Linked DNA regions of Caenorhabditis elegans. The protein of the gene in region 1 interacts with the protein of each later gene in a pairwise test. Each region holds a gene or a part of one and is shown in the gene's direction. Other genes may lie near its edges. The genes, in order: metl-13 and swsn-1.

The links.
Region 2: the proteins of metl-13 (region 1) and swsn-1 interact in a two-hybrid assay, tested with the Caenorhabditis elegans proteins (3 studies listed by BioGRID).

Annotation. Positions count from the first base shown.
Region 1 is NC_003282.8:6,633,322-6,638,871, forward strand, and holds metl-13 (Methyltransferase domain-containing protein), read left to right. Parts: upstream 1-1,767; 5' UTR 1,768-1,770; coding exon 1,771-1,856; intron 1,857-2,094; coding exon 2,095-2,320; intron 2,321-2,394; coding exon 2,395-2,606; intron 2,607-2,651; coding exon 2,652-2,763; intron 2,764-2,815; coding exon 2,816-2,934; intron 2,935-2,980; coding exon 2,981-3,118; intron 3,119-3,166; coding exon 3,167-3,353; intron 3,354-3,397; coding exon 3,398-3,569; intron 3,570-3,828; coding exon 3,829-4,016; intron 4,017-4,063; coding exon 4,064-4,208; intron 4,209-4,262; coding exon 4,263-4,507; intron 4,508-4,557; coding exon 4,558-4,698; 3' UTR 4,699-4,834; downstream 4,835-5,550. Other genes in the region: C01B10.9 (Bis(5'-adenosyl)-triphosphatase), read left to right, coding at 1-197, 529-649, 696-857, 925-1,197, 1,309-1,371; C01B10.7 (TransThyretin-Related family domain), read left to right, coding at 5,258-5,350.
Region 2 is NC_003283.11:20,246,227-20,251,380, reverse strand, and holds the start of swsn-1 (SWI/SNF complex subunit SMARCC2), read left to right. Parts: upstream 1-1,898; 5' UTR 1,899-1,920; coding exon 1,921-2,035; intron 2,036-3,631; coding exon 3,632-4,257; exon of another isoform or gene 4,258-5,154.

The DNA of each region.
Region 1 (5,550 bases):
GATGAAATTGGAAAACAAATTTATGCAAATTTAACATCAGCAGTGAAAGAGCATGGATATGATGTGAATATTCATTGGAGAGAGGAAGTTCCAGAAAGATGGCATTATCGAAACAGTTCGCGAATTGGAAAAATCGTTTTCGAGCCGCAAATCGGTTCTTCGATTTCGTTTTCGTGTACGAAGGATCTTATGGAAAAGTATGTGGTTTACAACCGGGCTGTGCGGCAAATTTTTCTGGCAAACGTAAACAATAGTAATGCAGAAACAGGTGCATTCTATCTGAAAATAATATTTAGCTTTGTTGAATAATTGGAAAAAAAACCTTAAATATTGCCCGAATGTTGTCATTTGCAGAATAACTTTTAACGGCACTATTTGAGACCTTTGTCAAGTTTTTCAACAAAAACAAATATCATTTTTAGATGGAATGGGACATTTTTTCTTGAATTATCATATTAAAAAAAGGCAGTTTGATCCGTTTACCGGAAAAAATATTACAACGATTAGTTTATTGAAATCAACTTTCAGGCAATATGGAGAAAACGGAACATTAAAATTCAATTCATCAACTCACGGACAAGATCCTGATCGTCCAGAGATGAGAGCTTTCCTTATTATGAGAGGCCCAGCGTTTTCTGAAAATTATACGGTATAAGCTAGGCATTTTGAGAACTGTATGATAAATATTCTTTCAGATTGCCGATATTCCTTCAAATGTGGATTTGTACAATATAATGTGTCATGTGCTTGGTATCACACCAACTGAAAATAATGGAACCATGGAAATTGTGAAACGAGCTTTAAAAGAGAACAGATATTTACCAATGACACATGGTTTCGTATTTAATCAGATTACGGTAGGTTATTCCACAGAGTATTTGACTCAATTCTAAAGCTTATCAAAAGCACATAATTTTTCTTCAGGATTCATGGAGTTTTTCGCTTATTTTAATTCCTTCAATGTGTATTGTTATAATATTCTTCGCTTATGGATGTAAGAATACCGTACTCAAATCTGATCCCAATTGGGGAAGATCCGATACAGTTCAAGGATATCGGCCATTGAGTAACCGGACGAACGAAGGATTCGAATTAAATGATGATGAGGATGAGGATGAAGGAGATGGATTAAGGAATTCGATAGATTTAGAAAGAGGTGGAAGAAGGAGTCAAGCAGGAGGTGGTGCACTTGGAAGTGTGAGTTTTATATTGAAATAATCGGAAAATCAAATATCGCTCGAAATTATTTTAAAGAAAAAATAAATAAAAAATTACCCGAAATGTTCTCAAAAATGTGTAGATTTTCAGCTGAACAATGGAACGGTAGCAATGTCTGGACTACTGGATGAAATGAGCGATGATGATATTTGATCTTTTTAATATAACTTTTTGCATTCAAATTGTAAATATTTCTTGTGACCTCTTTATATATTTCCCCCATTGTGCCTTCGATTTCTCTTTAATTTCTGCAGAATATTCAAATCACAAAGCAAAATATTTATCTCTTTATTTGTCCTAGTCATCCTTTCATCTCTTTTTGATTTTTTTCCCCGGTTGTGGATTTTCAGGATTTTCAAAATCATCCAAAGACAGTTTATCAATTTTCAATGTGATATATTTTCAAAAAAGATTACTTAACTTTAATAATGAATGTTTCTCATATTTTTTACTTCTTAATTATAATTTTATTTTCTTTGGTTTTCATTTAGCCTCATGTTTTATTTCGAGTATTTAAAATGATTATTTTTCTAGTTTCTATAGTTTCAGGCCATGTCCGCTCCAAATGAGCCACAATCTTTCACGGATCCAGCGTACTGGAAGAACTTCTTTGCAAAACGAAAATCTCCATTCGAATGGTAATTAAATAATTATATTTCTTTGTTAAAATATGATGTCTTTCAAACAAAATTAAAAGAAAATTATCACATCACTATCAAGTGTTTTTCAGATTTGTCAAAGAAAAATTATCAATGTTTCGAAAAATAACTTAAAATATTGACCATTTTTCTTCTTTTTAGATAGAAATTTTTCCTCATCAACATACACAAAAATTGAATGCTTTCGATTCTCATGTAAAAATTTGAATTCTTTCAGGTACGGTGACTATAATTCTTTATCAAATGTAATTGATAAATATTTGAAACCGAAAGACACGTTCCTTCAACTTGGATGTGGTAATTCGGAATTAGCGACCCAACTCTACGATAATGGATTTCATTGCATTCACAGTATTGATGTAGAACCATCTGTTATTGCCACACAGATTCGTAAAAATAAAGAACGACTCGGAATGACTTTTGAGACTGGAGATGCTGCTAATGTGAGTTTGGAGAATGTCCCGTTGTGCACAATGAACAATTAAAAGAAAAGAAATTCGAAAATAATATGTTATAGCTATCCATGGCCGATGAAGCACATACCATTGTAATTGATAAAGGAACTCTCGACGCTCTTCTTCCACCATCAGCTTCAGAATCCGATGAAGCATTGGTTACAAAGATGTTCGAGGAAGTTCATCGTGTATTGGCTTCTGGTGGAAGATATATCATTGTCACATTGGCTCAACCACATATCACCGAGTTCTGGATTAATCACTTCTATCCATTGTAAAATATTCATTTTTCTCAAAAATCTGTAAAACGTTATTCCAGAAAGCAATATATCCTACGTGTTCAAAAAGTTGAGAACAAGGCTTCTGGATTCCCAATGCCAGTTTTCTGCTTTATTGCCACGAAAATGCGAGCACCAATGCCAAATCCATTGGTAGGTAGATAAATTGCAAATTATTTTATTTAAATAAAACCTATATTTTTAGCCTCTAGAAGTTCTTCGCTCCAGCTCCATCCGTACTGATCGTATCGATAGCACTGACGAATTGAAGGATTCTATTCGTGGAGAACAGGAGCTCTCACAATTCATCTACCTGTGCTCGAAGTAATTCATTTTAGTTTTTCCCTTGAAATTAATGAAATTAATTTAGAAAGCTGGACTCTGAAGTTTCAATCGACTTTCATGGAGCAGATCCATCATTAGGACCACGTTATCGTATCTGTGTTGTTGATAATCCAGAAGCCAAGAAGATTGACACATTCGCCGCATTTGTGGTTCCAATTGGACGGTTTGTATAGAAAACATTTTTAAATTCGAATTCTTATATTAATTTCAGTGATTCTGAATGGCTATTCGCCTCACCAAAGGGACGAAAAGCTCTTCGTGTTCAATGTGGCCGCGAACGTCTCGCAATCGTTTTCCTCAACAGAAATCAAAAATATGAAAAAGGAATGGACGGTGTGAAGAGTGATATTGGACATTTTGTTGGAATGCTGGATGTTAGACAAGATAATACTGGAAATGTATGTAGAATTGAACACGAAACATATGAAAACCCGATTTTCAGTACGAAATTCTATCCATCGGAGGAGTCGATGTTAAGCGAACCGTTTCAACGGGACGTTCGGATATCAATGGTGGTTGGAGTGTTGAAGAAGTTACTGTTGAAGGAAATCAAACTAGAAGACTAGTTTTTCTGAATACGATGAATCTGGTACAATCTGAAGCTTATCTGAAAAGTTAGTAGTTGAAAATTTCATTTTTCAACCCCCTTTAAAGAGTAAAATGGATTTATTACAACTGAAAAATCAATGAAAACTGAGCAGCAACGAGATTTGAAAATTGCAGTATTGTTTAAAGGCGCACATCCTTCTGTATTATTTTCGGTGGAAAAAGAATAACATTTCCCATCTTGTTAATACACGAGAGGTAGTTTATCAGAATTAAAAAAGAACGGTTTAATGATGCTCACCTCAAAATTTAAAATTAACATTACAGCCGGAAAGAAGAAGCAAACGGTCATAGATCTCGATCAATTGGCATGCGATTTCCATAGAATGATGATCGGATCCCTAGCCATCAGTCCGCAACAACCATTAGCCAAGAATGATGCTCAGTGTAAGATGGCTGTTCTTGGATTAGGTGGTGGACTTTTGACTGCATATCTTGTCAGACATTTCAAAAAGGTATCAATCAAGTCTAGAAACTTAACAGTGCTAAATTTTCGTTTCAGGCTCATGTAACCGCTGTGGAACTTGATCCAGAAGTACTCAAAATCGCAAATTCTCACTTCTCGTTCCCCCATTCGGACGCTAGAATTGACGTTGTCATCCAAGATGCTCTTATTCATCTCCAGGAGACTGCAAAGAAACCTGAAGGTATTTAAAATATCATGTTCAAATTTTATTTTACAAATCAATTCTTATTTCCAGAAGAGAAATACGATGTGATTTTTGTGGATGTTTCTGGAAGTCAGAACGCTGCTCTTCAATGCCCACCATCCGCCTTCCTTACCCCAGAAGCTCTAGGAAATATGAAAAACTCGGTGAAAGAACAAGGAATGATTAGTTTGAATTTGGTTACACGCGATTCGGAATTCGGAAAGTCGATTAAAAAGAATATCGCAGAGTATTTCCCAACTCTCTACACAGTTCTGTCCTTCGAAGATGTTAATGAGGTAAACTAAATTAATTATTGAAATTCTACTAGCAAATATATTTCTTTCAGATTATCATCGGTCTCAAAACACCCAAGAACACAATAAAACCAGTGGTTCCTCAGAAATTAATCAACACAGTTCGCAAAGATATTGGAAGCTATGATGAGGTTGTCGGTGCTATCTCAAACATTCGTATGGTTGATTATTAATTGCACAATTTCGTTTGTTATCTTGTTTATTTTCAGTAATTTTTTATTATATGTATTCGATTGTTCCCAGTTATTCAAATTTTCCCCCGTTTGTTGTTTCGTTTGTTCACCTGATGAATTTTGTTTTACACTTTGCAAACATGTCTAATGTTCTCACGGTGCAGTGAAAAACAACTTTGCAGGAAAAACAACTATTAACAGCATATTCGATATCTCGACGCGATCCTACTGTACTTCCGATGTAGACTATTTGGAATTCCACTAGGAAGTTGTGCAAATTATCTGTATTTGATTATGCGGCCAAAACTATTCTATAATAACTTTGGAACTAAAAAATATTTTCCGTCACAAAATATGAAACTTTTAATTTTTGATCGTCAGTTTTTCTACAAAATAGTATTCATTTTGGTAGTGATCTGTACTGCAGAAATAGATTAATCTCTAAAAAAGTTCAGACAACGAGTAATTTCTATCAAACTGTGTTTTTTAATCTTTTAATTTTTATTTCCGCCTCTCACCGTGCGGTTATAAAATTCATAAGTTCACTTGTGCGGCCATCATGGTTCAAGTTAGTACTGTACTTTCTCTATTTCTATTGCTAATATGTCTAGTTGATTCCAGTTCTGAACCAAAACGTACAATGATAAGAAAGGTAACTAGGGAAATTAAAGCCTTCCAATTAGGCCCAAAAATGCCGGCCTACTTCGTACCTACCTCAATACAATGAACCGTTTTTTTCTAAACTTTCACTAGTTGAACTTTAATTTAATTAAAACAAACTACTTTATTTACATCGCCTTCTAATTAGATGCCTGCTTTTATATACAGCCAGACAATAAGAACCTACGATTG
Region 2 (5,154 bases), on another chromosome or scaffold:
ATTTTTCTAGGTTTTATCATATTAAAATGTTGCTTAATAGTTACTCTTTTGTTCGGATACATTTCTTCCTGAATAACTACATCAATACTTATTGATAAATTCATTATTAGAAAATATCCGCCCACCTCTGTTACCTATCGGTTTTAAATACCTTAATCGACGACATTAAATTAGATTAATTACCGATATATATGTAATAAAAGACGATAATTCCAAAAAAGCCAACTTCGGAGACAGATGTGACTCGGAAAAATTCGTGATTTTAGCTAAAATAAGTGTAATTTTTTCAAAATTTTGAACCGCCATAAAACAATTTTTAAAAAATTTAAAATTTTTGAGCAGTTTTATTACAAAATTCGTTCATTTGAGCTCATTTTAGGCTTCTATACGTTCAAAATCGTCCGAACCGTTTTTCCAATTTTTTGAATTGATCTCGATTTATCGCTCTATTTATCACTAAATTGTGTACTTTTTTTTGTGTATTTTTTATATTTATTCATTATTCACCATTATCATCATTGTGACGCTTTTCATTGAACAACAAAACAAGACATTTTTCAAATTAATTATCGTTTTTTCCGTTGTATTTTCAACTTTTTTGATGTGGTTAAATACCCCCCTCAATGCTCTATTTTTGCTCTTTTTCAGCTCGAAAACTGGAATTTCTACTGAAATTTACGTAATTTTTGCCATTTTTTCGCTGAAATTTGCTAGAAATCGCTAAAAAATGCGAATTTTTCGGAAAAAAAGCCCGATTTCCTCAATTTTCATCAAAAAAAGTTCAAAATAACTACAAACTACAGCTTTTTGGGCGCTGCTAAAACTACAAACTACAAGTTTTGGGCGCTGCTAATTCAAATTATAGGCGCTGCTAAAACTACAAACTACAGCTTTTTGGGCGCTGCTAATTCAAATTATAGGCGCTGCGAAAACTACAAACTACAAGTTTTGGGCGCTGCTAATTCAATTTTAGGCGCTGCTAAAACTACAAACTACAAGTTTTGGGCGCTGCTAATTCAAATTTTAGGCGCTGCTAAAACTACAAACTACAAGTTTTGGGCGCTGCTAATTCGATTTTGGGCGCTGCTAAAACTACAAACTACAGCTTTTTGGGCGCTGCTATGCTTGAATTTGTCAATTTTTTCGATTTATTCGAATTTTTTCGCTTAAAATCAATTTTTAATCAAATTTTCTTCAACTTTCCTGAATTCTAACTACAAACTACAAGATTTTAGCTCGATTTTTCTCAAAAATGCTTCAAATTTCGGAAATTTTCCGGGATTTTTCCCTGGAAAAATCGAAAATTTTCAAATTTCCTACAATTCCCGCTCTATTTTAGCGCTGCAAAATCCCAATTACCCCAAGAAAATCGATAATTCCCCCACCGTCCTACAGGTCCCCCCGTATTCCATTTTCTGAGCAGATGTTCATCCCGCGTTCTCTCTCTCCCTCTCCACGAGGCCTCCTTTCTCTGCGCTCTCTCTCGTTTCTCCACACTATTTCTCTCGTTTTCTCTGTTTTCTCTGGCGTCTCTCACTACGCGCGAGCTCCCTCACACTGCCGCCTTGTTTGAATCTACGCGGGCCTCGATATTTCGATATTGGACCAATTTCGACCAATTTTCTCGCAGTTTTTTGTTAAAAGTCTCTTTTTAAGGTTATTTAGTCATAATTTCATTGAAAATTTCGAAAGAAATTCCAAGAAAATACGAGATTTTTGCAGTTTCCACAGTTTTCTGTTAAAATTCTTGATTTTACAGACATTTTTCCTAGAAATTTTGCCGTTTTTCTGCTCACTTCAGTGAAAAAAATCGATTTTTTCGCAATTTTCTGCCCATAAATATGCTTTTTCCTCGCTGAAAACCCTGAAAATCTTTTCAATTCCCCGCTAAATTTCAGCAAAATTTCGTCGAAAAGTGGAATGAAGAAGGGAGCGTCGAAGCGGAGACGCGACGACGATGACGGTGACGTTTCGATGACCGGCGACGACGATGATAGCAGAAGTGGTGCCGCTGTGAAGGTTGAAGTGCCGAAAGGTAGCGAAATCTGTGTGGAATTTTCGGCGAAAATGCGGAAAAATAGCTCTGAAAAACGCATTTTTTAGTGATTTTCTCCGACAAAATCGAAAAAAATCGAGCAAAATCCGTGAAAATCTGGCTCCGGGCAGCCCGAATACCCTCAAAAAGTGCAATTTCAGCGTCAGAGCTCAAGTTTTTGCAATAACTGACTGGAAAACTTTGATTTTCTGGGAAATTTGCATAATTTTTCCATTTTTTCCGGAATTGAGAGTTGAAAAACGCAAAAAATTGGTTTTTTACACTCGAAAATGCTTTTTTCAACACATTTTTTACGCAAAAGTGAACTTTTTTTTTTTCAAGTTTCATTCGAAAAAGACCGAAATTTGAATTTTGGGCGCTGCTAAGCTAAATTTTAGCGAAAATTGGTCAAAATTCGAACATTTCCAGAGCGCATTTTCAAAATTTCTACTCATTTTTTGGAAAAAAAATCGGAAATTTAAATTTTAGCCAAAAATGGAATTTTTCAGCGCTTTTTCTTCAGATTTTCTTCGAAATTTCTGAAAAAATCGCATTTTTATCTGATTTTTCCAGAAAAAAACCAATTTTTCGGTCAAAATTGCATTTCAGGACCAAAAAAAACCAGATTTTTCCAAATTTCCTTCCTAAAATTTTTTTGGGCGCTGCTAAAGCTACAAACTACAAGTTTTGGGCGCTGCTAAACTACAAACTACAAGATTTGGGCGCTGCTAATTCGATTTTGGGCGCTGCTAAACTACAAACTACAAGATTTGGGCGCTGCTAATACAATTTTGGGCGCTGCTAAACTACAAACTACAAGATTTGGGCGCTGCTAATTCAATTTTGGGCGCTGCTAAACTACAAACTACAAGTTTTGGGCGCTGCTAATTCGATTTTGGGCGCTGCTAAACTACAAACTACAAGATTTGGGCGCTGCTAATACAATTTTGGGCGCTGCTAAACTACAAACTACAAGATTTGGGCGCTGCTAATTCAATTTTGGGCGCTGCTAAACTACAAACTACAAGTTTTGGGCGCTGCTAATTCAATTTTGGGCGCTGCTAATTCAATTTTGGGCGCTGCTGACCGATTTTGGGCGCTGCTAGACTACAAACTACAAGATTTGGGCGCTGCTAATTCAATTTTGGGCGCTGCTAACACTACAAACTACAGGTTTTTTGCGCTGCTAATCCAATTTTGGGCGCTGCTAAACTACAAACTACAAGATTTGGGCGCTGCTAATTCAATTTTGGGCGCTGCTAACACTATAAACTACAGGTTTTTTGCGCTGCTAATCCAATTTTGGGCGCTGCTAAACTACAAACTACAAGATTTGGGCGCTGCTAATTCAATTTTGGGCGCTGCTAACACTACAAACTACAGGTTTTTTGCGCTGCTAATCCAATTTTGGGCGCTGCTAAACTACAAACTACAAGATTTGGGCGCTGCTAATTCAATTTTGGGCGCTGCTAGACTACAAACTACAAGATTTGGGCGCTGCTAATTCAATTTTGGGCGCTGCTAAACTACAAACTACAAGTTTTGGGCGCTGCTAATCCAATTTCCCCTCAATTTCCAACCAATTCTCTTTTGCAGGAAAGGAAAAAGACGCCGAATTCAGCGCACCAAAAGGCCAAAAGCTCACTGATCTCGACGAAGAAGGTGTCCAATCAACAAAAGAAGCTCCACAACTCGCCGAAGGAAACGTCATTGAGCAGACCCACTACATTGTAGTCCCCTCATACGCCGGCTGGTTCGACTATAACGCAATTCATCAAATCGAGAAACGCGCAATGCCTGAATTTTTCAACGGAAAGAATAAGAGCAAGACACCGGACGTCTACGTTGCCTACCGTAATTTTATGGTCGACACGTACCGTCTGAATCCATTTGAATACGTGTCTGCGACGGCTTGTCGCCGGAATTTGGCCGGTGATGTGTGCTCAATTGTGCGGCTTCACTCGTTTCTCGAGCAATGGGGCCTGCTGAATTATCAAGTTGATTCGGATGCTCGGCCGGCTCCTGTTGCTCCGCCACCAACAAGCCATTTTATGGTTTTAGCTGATACACCGACTGGCATTCAGCCAATGAATCCACCTGGAAAGGAGTCTGCTGGAGCATCTGGGGAGCCACCAAAAGAGGAGATTAAGACTGAGATTGAGTCCATTTCGACGCCCGGCCTGAAAATTGATCAGTATCAGAAGCAGGCCATCGCGATGAGAGTGCGTACCTGGCGTCTGCCTTGGTTTTTCAGTGCAAATTTGAGAAAAATTGGAATTTTCAGTGCAAATTTGAGAAAAATTGGAATTTTCAGTGCAAATTTGAGGAAAATTGGAATTTTAGTGCAAATTTGAGAAAAATTGAAATTTTCAGTGCAAATTTGAGAAAAATTGGAATTTTCAGTGCAAATTTGAGGAAATTTTGAATTTTTAGTGCAAATTTGAGGAAAATTGTAATTTTTAGTGCAAATTTGAGAAAAATTGGAATTTTTAGTGCAAATTTGAGAAAAATTGGAATTTTTAGTGCAAATTTGAGAAAAATTGGAATTTTTAGTGCAAATTTGAGGATAATTGGAATTTTCAGTGCAAATTTGAGCATTTTCCGGCTATTTTTGAGCGAAAATCGGCAATTTCACACAATTTTTCATCGGAAAAATCGATTTTCACTGAAAAGTTTTAATTTTTCGACCAATTATTATGGAAAACCCGAAAAAATCCCTCAATTTTTGAATTTTTCATCAGAAAAATCGATTTTCGCGAGAAATTTTCTGATTTTTCGGCCAATTGTCATGAAAAACCGAAAAAATCCCGCAGTTTTTGAATTTTTCAACAGAAAAATCGATTTTCACTGAAATTTTTCGAATTTTCAGTGAAAAATCCCAACATATTGATATTTTGTCCACAAAAACATTAATTTTTCATCAGAAAAAACATTTTCGCGAGAAATTTTGAATTTTTAATCCAAATTTGAATGCATATTCCGGCTATTTCTAATAGAAAATCGACAATTTTTCATTAAAAAATCGATTTTCAATGAAAATCCCAACAAAATGCTGCTTTTTCCACAAAAAACAACAATTTTAATCAATTTGTCATTAAAAAAAAAAAATCGATTTTCGC